Drosophila melanogaster: one gene and its partner. The protein of the gene in region 1 interacts with the protein of each later gene in a pairwise test. Each region holds a gene or a part of one and is shown in the gene's direction. Other genes may lie near its edges.

Region 1 (5,905 bases):
ATTGCCTTGTAGTTCTTCTTTTCTTGTAAAATTTTAATTTATTAGCTAAAGAAAATTATGAATAATATTTCGTAACAATATATAGGTACATATTATTAAGAGGGGAAAATTATTTATGATGAATACTCCTTCTTTTTATTTATAAGTTAAAATCAAGAAATACAATTCAATTTTGTTTTTCATCTTATTTATTTATTTTATCATAGTCATAGACAATTTTTTTCAAATTTCTTCTAATGATGTAATTAGTGAATATGCGTTAGTGCTTTGCATTAAAGCTTTTGTCATTAGAAATTAAGACCAAAAAGCCACGGCATTCAAAAAACACCAATCCCTGCTAATCCAAAATAAGGCGTAAATCAACGTATATTATATTCGATTAAATGCAAACTTTGTAATCGATGACAACGAAAATGCCATTTAATTCCTTCTTTATTGGCTAAAATTTGTTGTTCATTTTAACTCCTGCTGTGAAATTTAATTAAAAATTATCAAGTTAATTTCACAAATTTGTGTGTATTTCACTACCTTCACAGGGGAAGTGAAGAATGCCTCCAGGGGCGCCACCATGGGATGACATCGGGTCGGCGGTGGGCTGAGTTATGGAATGTTGCCAAAATGCCAGCGGGTTAGACCTGCGGTTGCGGTTTGCCCTGTTCTGGCCCGAACGAGTCCGGATTCTGGACTGGTGCTGGAACTCTGGTCCTCCACGTTTCTGGCTTTTGAGTTATCCTTTTCGCGGTTACCTTTTGTCGCTTGCCATTGTTTTAGGTGGTCCATTGTTTGAAATTTCGTGGATTGGGTGGAGCTGGAGAGAAAAAGGGACTATGCTCCCAACTGTTTGAACCAGGCCATTGTTTTGGAGCCTAGTAAAGGAATTTTTTTTTCGTCGGGTTTCGCTGTTTTCACTTGTTGAAGTGTTGACTTTGACGTGGTCAATGCTTGGGTGCCATAACAGCTTCATTACGGTGCCCGCTCCCAGTTGATTACAATTCACGAAATTAACGCCCATGTTGAGATTACTCCTTAATGCCTTTGCCAAGGAGATAACCCACCCATTTTACCCCCCGGCCGGTACTTTCTGAGAGTCATCCTTGGGCTGCCGCGTGTAGTTTGCATTAATTTCGCGTTAATTTTACGCGATAATCGTATTTCTTCGTATAATAGTCTGAAACTGGTTGTCGGGGCGGGGACTCCCATATTGCTTTAATGGCGGCTAAAAAGCTCTTAATGGCATCTATTTGAGATTTTATTTATGCACTCGAAAATCACATTGAAGCGTGGCTACTTCCATTTTTGCTTGCTCGCCTGCGGATTCAATGCGAAAGTTGGTTTATATTTACTTTATATCTACTTAAAAGGGAGAGATGGCAGGCCAACTAGTCTGGAATTTTAATGCCAAGGGTATATATATTGAAATTCCTTTACTTTAGATAAAGGAATTTAAGCTTTTTTTATTGATTTGTATAGCTAACTTCCACTTTTTATTGAATCTTTTAATCAGATTTTAATTGCTTTGCCTTTTTATTATATTTGCAAATATACATAAGTACAAAATTTAAAACAAATATTCTTGAAATGTGAAACCGTCTTCGGTTCTATATTTGCCAGATTAAGTTATCCAAATAAATTTCAATTTTAAGCTGATAAAATAGATATTGAATATTGACGTTTTTGTTACGCGATGTCCAACTCCTTTTTGAGATATTTCAACCGAGTTTCAAAGCGTTTTTTCATTGTAATCCCAAATCGGTTTTGTTTGATTTGCTGTCCATGGCTGGCAAATTAAAAGTCGCATGAATTGGCCCCAGCAAACAGTGGCGGGGCTTATTCCATGGATTTTGTTAAAGGGGGGTTAAGGGGTTCGGGAAATGAGCAATGGACCTTCAACAAAATTCTAATTATTCATTGTCGACGCGCCGCTCGCTGACAGCGAAAACAATGAGCGCACTCAACTGTGAAAACTGCAACAAAGCGCATTCCAAACCCAGACTGAAAAAGACAGGGAGAGATGTGACTGAGGGTGGTTTAAAATGCGGGGGGGGGGGGGTGTGTGGAAGAGTGACGCATTTACTGTCGCACTAAAAAATAAAGCTTCGGGCCAAAGGATTCGCAAGCCATGAGAAACATTGTCAACATTTTTTACAATTTTCTAGTCGTTATTTACCATTGTTTCAGCTCCGACCATTGTAGGAGATGCACAAATACAGATTCAGATACAGATGGAGATACAAATATAGATGCGCAGATACATATGCAATCCCTTAGATACGGGTGTTTGTATCCATGACTGTTGGCTATGGCAGCAATTTGCAGCATTTAGTCCGAGTCCATTTAACTTTAATGCACTCGCACTCTGGCTCTACCATTGGAGTTATCACAGCTTCCTTTATGGAAACGCCAGCAGACGATCTTTGATTTATTGCCAGCAGTCAGAAAAGCATTCAACTTGCAATGTCCACTTATAGAAGTGGGTGATTTCGGTTGCAAGGACACAGCTCATCCTTCTTGTGCACAATTGTCATTGCCTTGGGTCATTCGACTGGTTCCCCGGTGTCCAATTGCAAGCAGTTGGCATTACGGCCAAAATATTTCGCCCAACTATCTGACCCACGCCCAATTAATGAATGCTCGGCCCAGAGCCAAAATCCGCTTAGACGCAATGCGACAAGTCCGAAAGAAAACAAAACTAGGAAATAAAAAACTCTATAAATTCTCACTTTCACAGGCTATCGATTTGGGTTAGGCGTTTTTGAAAATTGGCAGCTGACCAATATCCAAAAAATAACATTGTAACATTTTTTACAAAAATGCTAAATACACAAGTTCAAAGGTCCTGAAATTGGTTTTCTTTATTTATCATATTAAATGTCATCCTTAAGTATCCGATTTAACTTCAGCAAGAAAAGCTTTTTAAAATTTGTAATCTAATTTTGATTGGTAGGTTAGAGTAGGCGGTAGGTTTATTCATATTTGTATTAAATTTCAATGAAAAAGGAGCAAAATTCTGGATTGATTTTATGTAAGCATAAAATCTTATTTACAACTTCACGTATGGTGATTAACTAACCTATCCACCAGCTGCATAGTTTTGAAGGTACCTCTGTGTAGCAGACGAGTGCACTCAAAATACCAGTAGATCCGATTCAGTGGCGGCACAGGACAGAACGCCAGAATACAGATGGCCGAGCAATTGCTGGTGAACACGACGTTGCCGATGGCGGGGCGCCGTCTGGACCGGGATGTTAACCGGCTGTTGGCGTCGGGCTACCGCACCACCGTGGACGACGACATGACCAACCTGAATGTTTGCCTCGAGGGTCCACTGGGCAGTGCCTACGAGGGTGGCATTTGGACGGTAAATGTGACCATGCCGCAGGACTATCCGTTGACGGCACCGCGCGTTCGCTTTGTCACCAAGATCCTGCACCCAAACATCGAGTTCATCACGGGCCTGGTCTGCATGAATGTCCTTAAGCAGGCTTGGTCATCCAGCTATGACCTGGTCAACATATTCGAAACCTTTCTGCCACAGCTGCTGCGTTACCCGAATCCGCACGACTCACTGAATCACCGGGCCGCCGCCATCATGAAACACTCGGAGCAACTCTTTCGCGAGCACGTTATCCTTTGCATGAAGACGTACGCCATGCCCGCCAACCTTCCGACGCGACAACTGGTGGAGGAGGGCCTCGAGAAACGCTCCTCGGATCTCAGTCTATCCGACCTGCTAACGGACTCGGATGATGACGATGTTGGAAACAGGAACAACGCACACATTGCCCTGCCAGGATCAAGCTAGCCATTGAGTATTCGGGAGGTCTTTTTTGTGTCTGTGTATGATAAAAGATTGTATACGGACAAATATATCGAAATTTTAAGTAAAATTATGTAATAATGTACCCCATTCGTATCTCTTAACAGCTTTAAGTCCCCTTCTAATTTAAGATATTCCCCATCACACGTTTATGACAATTAACAATTTTATGGCTTGTCCAATGTCTTGAAGAAATATTTGATATTAAATTGTGCGCCTTAATTGTGTCGAGTGGGATGAAACCAGATTGCTGTAATGTTCCGATACGAAATTAATTTCGCTCCATTAAGGACAATTAGAAATTCAATGACCATAATTAAAAGTGATGCCAACTCCAGTCAACACGTCCAAAGGACTCCAAACAGGTGATTTCTGATTAATTTGTCTGATTAGGCTAAATGCCAGAAAGGTTTTGCTAATCCTATTATGTGGTTCAGTTCAAAAGTGCAGTCATGTGAAAACAACGATTTAATTGTGATAATTATTTAAGCAATTGTTTTTGAAAGCCCAAGAGGCTGAACCTATCTAGATGACAGTTCAAAGTTTGAAAGCCATAACAATGGAGGTAAATGGTTGATAAATTGTATTTGATAGGATTGTGGAGTGGGAGTAACGGTTGTCAATTTAAACCAAAACTTAAAGGCTATCAAACAATCATTAATTGTTTGCATTTCGAGAGGAGATTCTATTGTCTGTACAACCTTCTAGTTGAGACTCGATTGAGGGTGCAGGCCAATCTATATCTGTGGGACAAAAATTGGATAAGTGATGATTCGCAAAACTGACGAAATGAATTCGTCTGCCTGTCCCCAAATCTGGTTGAATACGACGGTAATGTGGAGAAGGGGGCCACCGAGACGTGAATTTGGCTTTATTGACGCCTACTACTTGGCCTGGTCTGAATCTCTGATGGAATGGCTGGCCACCTACCTGCCCGCTGCCTCTCAGTCCCAAAGACCATGGCCAATGTGAGTGCAGTGTTCCAGACAGTTGCGCAGACAATCCTGGATATCCGAGGATGAGGACGGAGCTTGGGGGGCTTCAGGGGCTTCGGCCAGGTCGAATGCCTGCCTGTCTGCGTGTGCTGCCATCGAATTAGAATACGATGTGGCTCACTCTCTTGGTCTCTCTTCGAACGAATTTATGCAATAGTCGTTGCCATTTTCGACTCTGAATGACTTTATCTTCACATTTCCACAACGAAATGATGTCTTTAGTGAGACATTCGATTGAAAACGATTCGGTCTGAGGAACGAAATGCAGTCCGAGACAGATCTTTTGTTCTCTTTGAGGTACAAACACGTGGCGTTCATTAAATTTTGCTTAAACTTGGGTTTTTCTGGCTAAAAGTCCATCAAATTCTTAAAGTAATCACACACTCAATTTATATTTAATTTCATTTTTTAATTATAGTCCACCATCTTGGGTTTTAATCTAATTTTTGGCCCTAAAGCATATTATGTTGCACGGATCAAACAAGTTTCATTCGCCTGCCAATTGCAGGTAAATGTTTACTGGCAATATCTTAGAACTGCCCCAAAGGAGCAATCTACATGGGCTTGAAATTTCATAAAATGTATATCAATCAAACAACTTCGATAAAACATTTTGGGCCAGACATCTGTGAGCACAGCTATGACTTAAACGAAAAATCCTTGAGAAAGGCGCTGAAAGCACTTTTCAATGGCCAACTGAATGGGTCAACAGACGGTTAAAGCCAACTGTCCTGGAATTGAGCATGCATCCGCTAGCGCTAATTTATTCAAGTCAATTGACTCGCAGCGAGGCGAGTCGAGTTTAGTTGACTCTGCACGGTAATAGCCACGCGGAGGCTAGCCTCATTAGCATATTCTAATTAATTTATATTATTCCAGAATGCACAAAACTTAATTGGTATGGACCACTTAGTTAATGAAATTGAAGCTGCCGCCAGGCTGGTACTGTCTCCAGCCCTTTGGATGAGTCCTTCTGTCCCTATATTCCAGTATTCATGCCAAATTCTTAGCTGCTGACAATTTGGCGTGACTGGGAATGAAAACCAGGCACTTCGCTTGTACTTGATGGAAAGTTTGCAGTGGTACAGTGCTG
Region 2 (6,251 bases), on another chromosome or scaffold:
CGGGGCCAGAACAAAAGGTAAAATGGCAAGTGCACACATACACATACACGCTTCTGTCAGTCGTTGAAATTGTGTGTGTGTGTGTGTGTGTTTTGACCTCTGGCAAAACTGCATCCAAAAGTCAATCACACAGCCCAGTTTGCAGTTTATGCGTCTTTGGGCACACTCTATTTATTGCTACTGACCATTTTTAAGCATTTTTGTTTTTAATGAAACTAGGTTATGCCTTTTACTAAATAATACAAATACAAATACAAATCTTCTTATCTTCTTCTTATCTTGAAATCTTCTAAATATTTGTCGGATATTCTATTAAAATTATATTTTACCAATTGTATGGTCACACTATATCGCTCACCTTGGTGAATGCAATGCAACACATGTTCACTATGAAGACCAACCAACAAGCAAAATAGATCACAGATATGTAAACACTTACTCATAAAACGTAAAGTTACAAATATAATGTCAGATAAGTGCGTATTATAACATTTTCTATAGCTGCATATGACGATGCCACTGTTGGCAATCGAATGTAAATACTTTTGAGCAGATTGCCAGCTAAGAATGAATTCAACCAAGTTGACAAGTTAATGCTCGGCATTTTGACGGTTTTCACTACGGCATCACCTGCTTCGGGCAAAAGCCAACGCCAATACCGCCCATCAAGCCACGAATATCGTGAATATTTAAAGGGCAGGCTTCAATATTTCAGCATCGCTCAACCTTGACAGCATTATGAACTGAGTGCGACTGCAAGTGGGTAGCGAGTGGGATGGTAGGTGGCAGGTTGCAGGCTGGTGGCTGGTGGCATGTGGCACAGTTGGGTGGCAGGTGGCAATATGAAACGCTTGGATGGCGCAGAGCAGTGCAGCGTCGGATGCTGGAGTCAAACCAGGCGTGTAACCGAGGCAATGGAGGCGATACTCCTTCCACGTACTCAATTTGGCCCCTTGGGTGCGACTGCTGGTGCAACTGTCAAATCTTTCATGAAGATATAACCAAAGACCCTAGAATAACAAGATGCGTAACGCCATACGATTTTTTGGCACACGATTTTTTGGCCGTGGCTCTAGAGGTGGCTCCAGGCTCTCTCGAATTTTTGGTAGAGAGCGAGAGAGCGAAGAGCGCTACAGCGAACAGCTCTTTTCAACGCACAAAGTGATAGCAGACATCTGTATGTGTGCACACGTATTCACATGCATTGTAAATTTGAAAAAATATGCCCTTCACCTTAGAAGTTCTTTGGCTTTAAATCTATATTATTTTTGATCAATTGGCACCATGCGAAAAATTCTTGTTTTGCATTGCCTTAACGTTATTATTATTTGAAAATAGATTAGAAATACTCAAATCTATGTACATATTATCACAAAAATAAATTTCAAAAATGACTTTATATAAGAATATTTGTCATTAGAGTATTCATCTTGCGGCGTGTGAAAAATTAATAAGGTAATGATTGTTGAGTGCTTGTGTCCGCACTTCGTGCCTCAAGATATGAACAAAGCAAAGACACTAGAATAATTCTATTGTCTTTGATATTACTTTTGCAATTTCATTTAATTGCATATTTAATTATTTAGTATATTTATTAAATCATTTGACTTAATATGATGTAACATTAACATTAAAAGTGTTTCAAAAAAAATATTTAGCTTTTAAAAAATTGTCAGATGAGAGAAAAATTAGAATTAAACATAAATATAAATGTGTAAACGGTAGCTAATTCGAGCGGCAATTTTAACAAACAAATTTAAAAAGCTTTAAAATTATAATAGTCAGGGCGCGAATTTTAAAAAATTTTTTTATTTTATCATATTGCTAGGAAATTGGCAAAAACTACCCTAATATGTACCATGTAAATTCGTTTCTTCGATCAGAATTGATTTCGGCCCGAAAATCGTCTTCTAGCACAACACGCACACTTATACGCGTTCTCGTCTCTTGTTTTTACTCACACAAGCAAGCAAATTATATTTTTAGGTTTCTTACGCTCTCAGCGGGAGTGAGCGGAAAGAGAGTAATTTTGGCCGTCACCAAAAAAGTGGCTGCATAGTGCCAAACCAATGTATGGCCGTTACGCATCTTGTTATTCTAGTGTCTTTGATATAACTCACTGCCGGTCCAATGAGTCGTCGTCTCATTGTGAACCGGATCCGGATGTGGATACAGCTATGGCCACGTTGACAAAATTGGGCTGCAACGCATCTCAAAACGAATGGTAAGCTTACCCACCCATTGTTGGCCAAAAACAGCACGTAATGGTGTATTAATTAAACTTCGACCCTTCGCCCTTATCGCTTTTTGGCAATGCCATGACACAAGTGTGGAAAATTGCTGTGTTTCACATACATAAGTTCAATGAGTAAGCAAAATGCCTCTAAATACGAAAAGCATATATTGAATGACCAAAAAGCAGCTGAAAAGATTACCCATCGAATTCTGAAGACTTATTTTATTACATGGTTGCTGTGTAAAAGTTTTCGCTTTGTGTGGCTATGCAGTGGTAAAAATTTACTTCTTTTCGGATGTCAGCATACTATCTTGGTTTCATTTCGATTCTGAAGAGCTGGAGAGCAGAAGTCATTGCTCCAGGACGAGGTTAGCTATCAATCAGGGTTTAAGAATTAAAGTCGTCGTGGGGAAACCGGGGTAAAACTCGCTGCTCGACAATCATTTACCGAACAGCTTTTGGCTTTCACTTTTCACACATACCGCAATTAATTTCCGTTTGATTGTTTGTCTCTGTCCGGACTCCACATTCAAAGCCCCACCCGGAATCCTATTTGCTTTCCACACGGCGAATGCGATTTAATTGCTTTGGGACCCCTGCTCCCGCGACTTAAACTCAGCTCTGGTGCTTTTACTTTGCTTTTCCTCTCGCCCACACCCGCACTTTTCCCACACTTTTCCCACACTTTTCCCATACTTTTCCTGCACTTTTCCCGCATTGCACCTGCAATCGTAAATAAAGAGCTAAGCGTGAACATGAAGGTGAGGAATTGCAGCTGCAAATCGGAAGAGGAGGAGGCTGCCGTGTCAACAACTTTGCCGTGAAAGTTTTATTTGTTCAGTTCATTTGGTGCTGCTGGCAGAAGCAAAACATTATATGGCACATTCATAAACACCCGTGTTGCCGGGCGATGTCAAAAAATTGTGAATGGTATGGGGATTTTCTGAGGAAAACACTAAAAAAAAAAATCCTTGAAAACTTTGTTTGCCTTTTTGCACTTAAATAGTACACTTACTGCACTTACTTTAAAGTCTAACTTAGAATGTGCAGTGTCATGAATTAATGAAATAGCCATAAGAATTATTAATTTACCAAAATCTTGAATATTCGCGATATTTGTGTCTCTCATTTCATCGTCGAAACAAAATGTACCAGCTGGCTTTGAAAAGAATGCCAGATTAATGTCATGGCTCATTTCATAAGTTAAAATCATCTAGGTAGTCAACACACACAATCGACACAAAATACACACACACCGTTTAAACAAAAGTGAAAAAAAATAGAGGAAAATCGAAAAAAAAAAGAATCAAACAGCGAAACAAAAATCATAACTTGGTATTGTATCTAGCTAATTAGAGAGTTGCACTAGAATCGCGTGCGACTTGAACGTCGAGAAGTGTATAACAGATCCCTAAGCAGCACATCACTGCACCAGAGTCTCATTGGATCGCACCGAGCAAAGTACAAAATTCGTAGGTTCAAAGTTCAAAGTTTACGGTTTCCGAAGGACTAACCGAGAATCCAACCACGGACCATCCCGTCCAGAAGGCCAAAGGTAGCAACCAGCAACGAAGCTTCAGTATTGAGCCACTTTGATAACTGCTTCCAATCCGATTTCTTTTCCACTTTTGATAGTTTTATATTCAGGTGAGTTAATTATCACTTATAATATAAGTATTGTTGTTAAATATATATAAGAAATACTTTTCGGCTTACTAGATCCAAATAATTATAAATACACTCAGTTAATTGGCTGCATTCGATATTTGCCTCATAGATATCCCGAACCGCTGCCCTTCCAGGATGGTCATCAATCTGAATCCGTCCACCTCTTCGAACGCCAATGCCAGCGGTAGCAGCGTGGGTGGCGGCAGCGGTGGCGGCAGCGACGGTGGCAACGGCGATGGAATGAGCAGCGCTGGGAGCCAGAGCGGCAACATCATTGGCGGAAACGGAAGCGGAAGCGGAAACGGTAACGGTAACGGTGATGGTAACGGTAGTGGCAACACCGCCGGAAACGTCAGTAGCGGCACCCCCAGCAACCTGATGGGCATCATCAGCCATGAGATGTTCGATGGTATCGTCTATCTGCATGTGGTATGTGCCGGTGAGTCAAGCTCCAAGTGGGTCACTCTGGAGGAGGCGATGGCCTACTGTCCCAGCGGCGTTGTTGCCTACACCAAACTGCAGCTGGCCGAGATTTATGGCATACCGATGGACGTTCTGTTCGACTGATGGTGATGCATAAACCAGATTCTTCGTTGAAGCGATTGCAGTGTACCGCACATGGACGATGGTTTTGATGGATTCTTGATTAGCTCCGTTTGGCTTGTACGGTTTATAAGCTGGACCATGGCAACTGTCATTTGAACTTTGGCACTGTTGGCAAAATCTAGGAATTCAGTATTCGCCAAATACGTGGCATTGGCAATATAACGTCGATTGTTTTTTCTTGCTACATTCCCTGCTCTAAATTTTAAGTTCCTGGCGTTAAGTGATTTTTCCGAAGGCAGCAATTACTAGAAATAGTATACGAATCTGCAAGGTTATTCCGTAATTAATTGCAAAAAATAAAAAAAAATAATAATAAAATAAAGGAAATTTATAAAGAAATCTCTATGGACAGTATGGGTGCCATTTACCTTGGTCACTGGCCGCTTCACGTGCCCCTGTGGCATTTGTCAGTCGACTCGGAATGCGGGGGTGGAAGATGAATGGACTGAGCGGAAGTTTAAGGAGCCTTTGCCACGCAGACACCACACGGCGTATGCGTAATGCGGCCAGCCCACAGAATTTGGGCATTTCAATTGCAAATTAGCCAAAAGCCAACGTCAACGGTCACCACGCCCACACCGACAGCCGCCCCCTTTTGAAGTGCGTCTCGACTTTTCTTTACCATTATTTTTCCCTCTTCTGCGAGTGTGTGTGTGTGCGTGGCAATTTGAATGATTTATGTTGATTGCGTATAATTGCATGTTGTGTCCTTGTCCGCCCCTTTGTGCCCAGGTGCGTTTGCCGGCCACGTGACAAATTCAAATCCCCGTCACCGCTTTACACTCCCTTTTCGCTCGCTTGGTCGGTCGGTCGGTTGGTTGGTTGGTTGGTTGGTTGGTCTTGTCTCGGCTTTTCCATTTCCCATTTCCGCCCCACCACTTTGCCGCTATTCCTAACCTCAGACATTCTGCGGCGCATTGTTGTTGCCGCTTTTATGACGCTCCATCTGTCAGCGGCTTGTTGGTTGTTCAGTTGGCTGGCTGGCTGGCTGGTGACACCGTGCCAGGACACGGCAAGGAGCTGGGGCATGGATAAACAGGACCCATATCCAGGCTGGCTGCTTATCTAATTACGCGCCCAAAAGCACGCAACACAAAAATGCCAAGCAAGTCGAGCGAGGCAACGACGACGACCAACTTGTCTTTTGCGGCACGACGCTTCATTTTTCTAATGCCATTCGCTGGCGGCGGGAATCGGTGGAAAAGCGGAAAATGCGGTGGGTCAGGATCTGTGTGTGGAGCATGGCTGACTTTTGCCAAATGGCAGGCGCTCGCGCATTTATTTCGCTTGTAAACGAGCGCAATTTGCAATTTGAGCGCGTCCGCCTCGCGTGTACCTTCCCTACTTTCTCCCTTGCTTTTATAGCAAAAAAAAAACCAACAATAAAAAAAAAATACAGCCTAAGAGAGGAGTGTACTGTCCGCCCCCTCAGCCATTTGCAATTGAATATTTATTTGCATTGCCATGGGCTTCGTGTCGGGTGTGGCGCAACTAAAAAATTATTACGCATACGCAGCGTTGCCAGCGGGGGAGAAACTATAGCGAATCAAATCGTATGAAAGGTATCTACCTAAGTGTGACCAAAGTGTTTTGGTGCTTTCAAAAATAATTTCGAAGGTTCGCAGGGAATCGTTTTGATTTGAATTAGCAGGAGCCTTAAATGTGCTACAACTACCTTTTTACATCAACTAATTACATTCGTGTAATTATTTTCTCCGTTAAGGCAAACAGTTAAGTGACA

What was found. The genes of interacting proteins can lie anywhere in the genome.
Region 2: the proteins of CG14739 (region 1) and CG9106 interact in a two-hybrid assay, tested with the Drosophila melanogaster proteins (one large-scale study listed by BioGRID).

What each region holds. Positions count from the first base shown.
Region 1 is NT_033777.3:12,046,249-12,052,153, reverse strand, and holds CG14739 (uncharacterized protein), read left to right. Parts: upstream 1-2,940; 5' UTR 2,941-3,022; intron 3,023-3,081; 5' UTR 3,082-3,181; coding exon 3,182-3,802; 3' UTR 3,803-3,901; downstream 3,902-5,905.
Region 2 is NC_004354.4:15,269,619-15,275,869, reverse strand, and holds CG9106 (uncharacterized protein), read left to right. Parts: upstream 1-3,464; 5' UTR 3,465-3,883; intron 3,884-3,955; 5' UTR 3,956-4,039; coding exon 4,040-4,471; 3' UTR 4,472-4,834; downstream 4,835-6,251.